Xenopus tropicalis: one gene and its partner. The protein of the gene in region 1 interacts with the protein of each later gene in a biochemical or structural test. Links are inferred from orthologs where the notes say so. Each region holds a gene or a part of one and is shown on either strand. Other genes may lie near its edges.

What was found.
Region 2: of the proteins of ifih1 (region 1) and trim65, one has a biochemical effect on the other in vitro, tested with the Homo sapiens proteins (2 studies listed by BioGRID, with this or other methods). The link is inferred for Xenopus tropicalis from reciprocal best matches to the Homo sapiens genes IFIH1 and TRIM65.

Annotation. Positions count from the first base shown.
Region 1 is NC_030685.2:71,936,695-71,940,520, reverse strand, and holds part of ifih1 (interferon-induced helicase C domain-containing protein 1), read right to left. Parts: intron 3,402-3,826; coding exon 3,184-3,401; intron 2,299-3,183; coding exon 2,182-2,298; intron 1,584-2,181; coding exon 1,460-1,583; intron 439-1,459; coding exon 211-438; intron 1-210.
Region 2 is NC_030686.2:44,879,139-44,883,466, reverse strand, and holds the start of trim65 (tripartite motif-containing protein 65), read left to right. Parts: upstream 1-1,377; 5' UTR 1,378-1,486; intron 1,487-1,591; 5' UTR 1,592-1,598; coding exon 1,599-2,054; intron 2,055-3,954; coding exon 3,955-4,050; intron 4,051-4,266; coding exon 4,267-4,328. UniProt on the Homo sapiens protein: E3 ubiquitin ligase that plays a role in several processes including innate immnity, autophagy or inflammation.

The DNA of each region.
Region 1 (3,826 bases):
TAAAAGCATCAGGCAAATACTTTTATGGCAAAATTATTAAGGTCATACAAATACAATGTTATGATAGATGTAAAAAAGGTTTAATTTCTGGTGTCAGTATCTCTTTAAATAAACCCAATAGACCTCACACCTACACATCATGTCACACATTTTATTAACTAAGCTGTTGTTGCCAAATATTTTGCATATTAACATAACGTATTAACATACCGTAAAATAAGTCAATAAGAAATCTGTCTGTTTCCTCAATGTTCAATGGCGCCACGTGCTCTGAACCCTCGTTTAACAGAATTTTCCTTTTTTTCTCCTCCTCATAAAATTTCCTAAGATGTATTAAGGAGTCGGTCATGCGAATGGTGTCATTGATCTGCAGGGCGTCATTGTACTTCCTTAGATGTTCAGCACACACGTGTTCCTTGCGTTTTCCTTCTTTGGCAGCTGGATTCAAAGCAGAAAAAAGAAATTCGGGTTAAGACATATAGGGCCTGATTCACTAAAGGGCGATAAAACGTGCGCTATTTTTATTGTGCGCTAAAATTTTTACCGCGGCTTAATTTTGGCGTTTTTTCGCACGATTCACTATAAGCATACTTGCGCTTTTTTACGCGCGATATTGCATGCGTTATTTAACTCGCGAAAGACTATTTCAATGCGGTATTTGCCGGTACATGCGCTAAATTACGCGAATAATCGCCGCATATGAATGGTAGCATAGAAATAGTGTATAAATATTGTCGCCGCATATAAATGGTGTATATAAATATTAGCCACATATAAATGGTATCATATAAATAGTAGATGCTTATAAATAGTAACTGCTAGTGATGAGCAAATGTGTTCTGGTTTCTTTAGTGAAAAATTAGCAAATCTTTCGAAAGATCCACGAAACGGCAAAAATGTTGTGCGGGCAAAAAAATTGTTGCCCGTGACTATTATTTTTTGACACTTGTATCAATTTTTGGATGTGCGGTGAAGTTTTGCGTGGCAAATTTTGTAGTAGGTGTTAATTTTCGCATAGCCGAATGCGATATTTAGCGCGCAAAAGTTATAGTGAATCATGCGATCGTATTCTTTTCAGCACGGAAATTAACGCAAATCGGTAAAACTAGTGCGAGAAATACCGCATGCGAAAATGGCGATTTTTCGCACGCGATAATACTATGGTGAATCGCGCGCAAATTATTTTGCGTTTTTTAACGCGAAAAAGCGTGCGATAATTTTTATCGCCCTTTAGTGAATCAGGCCCATACACTGTAATTTAACGATATTAAGTAACAGTGACATGACTGATGTAGCACTGGTAGGAATGATTCTCAATGGAGAATACTCTTGCAATAGCAATCAGGTGTGGAATACCTGCTTTGTAGAGCTTGGGGGAACAAATAAGGTTTTGGGGAACTTTTATGTCCTCTTTTCCAGAGTGATTATTCTTATTTCTTTCTGTAGGGGTGTACCGTACCTGTCTTATCTGTCTGAATAACCCATTGCTCATAAGACTGACTTCCATGGTCAGATGTGGGATACAGCTTGCTATACTCCTCAATCTTTCCCATGATCTCTTTTAATTTGTCTCCGAATGGATTCTAAAAAAAAAATCACACATCATAAGAAAACTCAAGCAGCACAAGGATGCATTTCCTTCTAAACATTGCCTGGACCACAGTGGTAAAGATGTTTTTCTATTCCAAAGTTTTGGGAATAGGGTTTCGACTTGAATAACTATGTTCTTAAATGAGCCCCCTAAACACCTATTTGTAAAACTGGTTTGTTAAACATTTTTATAGCCACCACACTTTAAAGAGATGAAAGATCTCTGCGGACATTATAAGTGACAGGAAGAATACCAGTATAAGATACCCATAACAGGCATGTCAGTTCAAATGATTTTTTTTGTGTGTGTGTGTTAAGGGTCCTTTTTAAGCAGAAGCTCTGAATGACACAGTGACCCAAATACTTCCTATTGTATTTCATCAGAACTTACACCTACATCATGATAGGAAGAAGACTACAATAGAAACCAGGGCAAGATACCAATAATGGGGATGTCAGTTCAAATGAATTTATGTCGCTTTTTCCTGTGCTAAGGTTCTGTTTAGGCAGAGTTTCTGAAAGGCATGGTAACTCAAACGCTTCCTAAATGTCCTCAATTTGACAGTCTTTTAAATGAAGACAAATCCGTACCTTCTTCTTTTCATCTGAAATCTTGACCTCCTTGTATGGATCTTTCACTTGCTTTCTTAGCTGCTCTGCATTTTCTTGCACGGTCATGATTTTGAAAGCATCCATGTTTGCGCATATCTGATATAGCAAAGACAAGGCTGTTATTGGCTACTAGACACCAACCTTCTGTTGGGCGTTACTGATAAATGTGATACAAACTTCCCAATGAACAATCCCACTGCACCCCCTGCTCTTATTGACAAATACAAGAGGATTCTCCAATGAGAACTAATCTTCACCCTGTCTTTCAAGTTCCATGTTGACAGTTGTAGAAAGAACCTGCTTCTCTGTGGTCCAGTGGAGATGCCCTAAAGTTGCAAAGAATGCCCTTCTTGTAACCCACAGCAACCAATCACATGTTTTGGTACAGTTTGTACTGTTCCTTGTTTACCATTTATCTATGTTGCTTTTCTAAAGTTAGCCCACTTCACATAGGAAGGGGGACTCACCAAAGCTCCTAAAATGTTCTGGTGTCCATCTTAACGATGGATGCCACCATACTCTGCGCTTATCTATAGTAGCTAAGGGGTATATTTATCATGCTGTATAAAAAGTGGAGTAAAACATCACCGGTGATGTTGCTCATAGCAGCCAATCAGATGCGTTGCTTTGATTTTCTAACTGTTGAAATCTAATTGCTGATTGGTTGCCCTGGGCAACATCACCGGTAATGCTTCACTCCACTTTTTACACAGCATGATAACTATAGCCCTTAGTGTTCCAATTTTCTTGTTGCACCTACTTTGGTGCATGAGGCCCATAAAAGTTCTGTACAATTGGCAAGTAAGAACAGAATAATTTTGGGGTGTTTTAACCTTTAGGCACTCACTGTTGGGCCAATAAAGTCATGTAATTGATAAGCTGATAACTGTACGCACTTATTAGAGATGTCCTCATATTTAGTTTCCTTCTTCATTCAGTGGAAAGTTTGCTACATAGTCATATTACACAAAAACCTTTTACCCTCAGAATATGTTCTTCTGACTTTTTAATGTTCTTGGCCCCTCCCACTCCTGGCGAAGCCGTAAGTCCAAGTATTTGAGGCAGTGGAACCTGTGCCTTTTCCATCTTGCTGTTGCGTTTGTTTTGCATTTTCTTTTTTATATAACGGATCATGATATTATTGTACACAGCATCCTTTTGAGTGTGATGGCATTCATCAATAATAATGAGGGAGAAATCTGCATGAAAAAAAACAAAAAAACATTGTTTTTTTAATTAAAACCGCCATCATTGTATGGTACCATAATACCAGTGTTTTCCCAGAATTTCATATAATGAGAGGCTATTAGAAAGGTGAATTATTCGGTGGTCTTCTCCAAAACGTATCCTTATTTGTGTTAGTAGTGAAGAGGACACAAATAGGGATAGTTGCTCAAACCATTGGCAACCTCTAACATGCACAGCACCAGGTAATGAAGAAGCACCCATGTTCTTTGTTCATAAGCAGAGTCAGACTGGGTCGGCTGGACACCAGGGAAAAATCTGGTGGGCCCCTCTGGTCCAGACCCGATACCAGCTGTCATCCTCCCCCGATTGTGTCTACTTATGTGCGCTTGGAGAAGGTGTGGGGCCCCTGCGGGAGGGCGTGTGTGTGCGGTGTGGG
Region 2 (4,328 bases), on another chromosome or scaffold:
TTGTATTAAGGCCGCGCTTTCTGTATGAAGGACCCAAGACTCTCCCATGGGAAGCTGGGATTGTTGCTATCTGTGCTGTTCATCTTTCTGCTCTATTGAAGGACTAAATGAATAACCGGCCTTTATCCACCATACACCCTACACATGCATTACAAATCACATAAAACCTATCAAAAATTAAATAGTAGCCACTGGCATTACCCATCCCATACCCACTGTAAGCAGCAGTCCTGCCCTGCTTTATGGCTGAGATTCTAGCTATCTGTATAACAGAGCATTCTGTCACAGTGGCACAGATCCTATCTGATCCCCCCCATTGTAAGCAGCAGTCCTGCCCTGCTTTATGGCTGAGATTCTAGCTATCTGTATAACAGAGCATTCTGTCACAGTGGCACAGATCCTATCTGATCCCCCCATTGTAAGCAGCAGTCCTGCCCTGCTTTATGGCTGAGATTCTAGCTATCTGTATAACAGAGCATTCTGTCACAGTGGCACAGATCCTATCTGATCCCCCCCATTGTAAGCAGCAGTCCTGCCCTGCTTTATGGCTGAGATTCTAGCTATCTGTATAACAGAGCATTCTGTCACAGTGGCACAGATCCTATCTGATCCCCCCCATTGTAAGCAGCAGTCCTGCCCTGCTTTATGGCTGAGATTCTAGCTATCTGTATAACAGAGCATTCTGTCACAGTGGCACAGATCCTATCTGATCCCCCCATTGTAAGCAGCAGTCCTGCCCTGCTTTATGGCTGAGATTCTAGCTATCTGTATAACAGAGCATTCTGTCACAGTGGCACAGATCCTATCTGATCCCCCCCCCATTGTAAGCAGCAGTCCTGCCCTGCTTTATGGCTGAGATTCTAGCTATCTGTATAACAGAGCATTCTGTCACAGTGGCACAGATCCTATCTGATCCCCCCCCCCCATTGTAAGCAGCAGCCCTGCCCTGCTTTATGGCTGAGATTCTAGCTATCTGTATAACAGAGCATTCTGTCACAGTGGCACAGATCCTATCTGATCCCCCCATTGTAAGCAGCAGTCCTGCCCTGCTTTATGGCTGAGATTCTAGCTATCTGTATAACAGAGCATTCAGTTACAGTTGCATTGTTGATATCACTGTAGGATTTTGAGTGCTAAGCAACAAGAAAGCTCAGCAAGGCTATGGAATAAAACCAAAGCACTTTTATGACATATTTATTGACAGAAGCACTGATTAGAGTTGGATACAATTACAGGGCTAATAAAATAACATTGAAATGACAATACACCTTTAAAGACTAATTGAATGAAATGCCTTTACTCAGGCAGCTCCTCCACTCTGTATTCCACCCTCTCCTCTTGTGTTTCAGCCAATCCTGTCTCTCCTCCTCTAGCCCCTCCCTCCAGCTGCTTTACTCCCGTTTGCTTTCGGTTTCCCAGACACTTCTCTGGTCTGATCTCCTCCCTGGATTACTGCACGACTGCCAGCCCTGCACCTGAGTAGAATGTAAGCTCTTGGGGCCACACATTTCTCTTATATTGATTTTCCTTAGCACTACACAGTACTTGTTGAGGCATTTTATATGTCAGTGTAAATATTCTGTCTTTCCAGCCTGAGAATGTCGGACCCCGGTTTCACGTCGAATGATATCCGAAGCAGTTTAAAGTGCAGCATTTGCCTGGAATTGTTCACCATGCCGGTGTCTACGGCCTGCGGGCACAATTTCTGCCAGAAATGTATCAATGATCACTGGGATCAAGAGGTTCGGAAGCAGATTCCCTACTCCTGCCCACGGTGCCGGAAGATATTTCCTGAGCGCCCCGAAACCCCCAAAAATGTGGATCTCAGCGACTTGGTTGAGACAGTAAGGGCTTTGGAGAAGCAGAACGTATCCCAAGAGCCGGAAATTCAAAGGAAGAGAAACGTGTGTCCAGCTACAAAGTGTCAGCGGCACAACCGCAACTTCGAGTTGTTCTGTTGCACAGAGAAGCGCTGCGTCTGTTCCAAATGCTACATGGTGGAATGCCGCAATCATACACTGGAGTCCATTGAGGAGAAGAGACAGATGGAAGAGGTAAGAGATGGCACCTTCAAAACTTACCATGGGCCCTATAGTCTTAAAGGGAAACTCCACCCAAAAAAGTAAACATAATTTCAAACAACTTTTCAATATATATCAATTAAAAAATATGCAGCCTTTCCATGATGATATGGTTGGAACAGTTCCCTAAGCCCCGCCCCCTGTTCCCCTGCTGATCTGGCTGGCTACTTTGTGACTCAAAAAAAATGTAACAGTAGTCGCCTGTCCTCAGCTTACCTTCAGCCTGCATCCTCCCAATCCCACAATTCCTTGCACACATGATGTCAATAAGGAGAGGAACATCACAGTGCAATGCATTGTGGGTTATGTAGTTCCTGCATGCTGTCTGTAAGCTGTGGAGAAGTTGATACAATTTGTAACATCAGTGTTATAGTCCCTCCTCCCCTGCCAGGATTCCAAATGATGCAGAAAGAGAAGAACTGTTTTGCAGCTGGATTTCAGCATATACAAATGGTTTTTATTCATACTTTTTGGAGGAGCAGATTACAGGTATATTAGGGATTTCTATGTTGGTGGGACTTCTACTGGTCTCTAAAAAAAAATGGGTTTAATCAAGGTGCATGCCAGTACAGTGGGTAGCGTTGATGCTTTGTATCACATATTGATTCTCATCAAGGTCTTTCCAGAAGAAGATTGTCTACATGGGCTTCCTCCAAGGCCAGAATTTGTATAAAATCCACATAAGCCCATACCTAGAGCATTCCTAAAATAAGTATATCTTCATTTCATCTACATGGGCTTCCTTCAAGGCCAGGATCAGTATAAAGGCCACATAAACCCATACCTAGAGCATTCCTAAAATAAGTATATCTTCATTTTATCTACATGGGCTTCCTTCAAGGCCAGGATCAGTATAAAGGCCACATAAACCCATACCTAGAGCATTCCTAAAATAAGTATATCTTCATTTTATCTACATGGGCATCCTTCAAGGCCAGGATCAGTATAAAATCCACATAAGCCCATACCTAGAGCATTCCTAAAATAAGTATATCTTCATTTCATCTACATGGGCTTCCTTCAAGGCCAGGATCAGTATAAAGGCCACATAAACCCATACCTAGAACATTCCTAAAAAAAAGGCTGTCTTCATCGCATCTACATGGGCTTCCTTCAAGGCCAGGATCGGTATAAAGGCCACCTAAGCTCAGGCCTAGAGCATTCCTAAAATAAGTCTGTCTTCATGGCATCTATATGGGCTTCCTCCAAGGCCAGGATCTGTTCTAACAATGTGACTCAGCATCTCCCAAACTCTTTTTTCATTGGGAAAGAGAGGGAGGTTTGTTTTTATTAAGGGCAACCCCGTCAGTGTTTCCCTGGCGCAGGGCATCTACAAGGGCTTCCCCAAGGCCAAGATCTGTATAAAGGCCACATAAGCCCATACCTAGAGCATTCCTCCTAAAAGAAGTCTGTCTTCATTGCATCTACATTGGCTTCCTTCAGGATCTGTATAAAGGCCACCTAAGCTCAGGCCTAGAACATTCCTAAAATAAGTCTGTCTTCATGGCATCTATATGGGCTTCCTCCAAGGCCAGGATCTGTATAAAGGCCACATAAGCCCAGGCCTAGAGCAGAACAAGTTTGGGAAGGTCTGTGGGAGGCAGATAATGGAAAAGGTATGAACACCACTGACTTGAACTTTGAACCCAAACTGGGCTCCAGGCTGCCACTGCTCCATGCTCCCCTAGTGGGAAGGAGGGCACAGTTTGGGTACAGGGTTATTTAATTAGCAAGTGACAGTCAGAGAACACTATAAAGGAGCAAGATGTACCTCTAAAAGACATAGCGGCAATCCACATTGCAGTATCTTTATTATCACATTATGGTTTGTGATGAGAACTTTTGATATATTATTATCCACCCTTTGCTTTAGGAGCAGCTTAGGAAGTCTTTACTTGGCAATGCCAATCAAAAGGAGGAAATACGGGCAGCGATTGAAAAGCGCCAGCAGCTCACTGGAAATATTAAAGTAAGTAACACCTTAAGCGCTTGTTACGGGCGTATAGTTATGGAAAATAATATGGCAGCTTGGAGACACATGTATAAATACAGATATATAACGAAGGAATATTCCAGCCATACAAAAAGCAATGGCCTTATGTAGTACTATACAAGAGGAAACCACATGGCAGCTCCCACCCATGAACATAAAGTAAATAAACATTATCTCTTACCTCTTGTGCAGACGTCATGTGACAAGATGGAGACCTGTATCTTGGCTAAGTTTGAGGAGCTGAGCAATGTTCT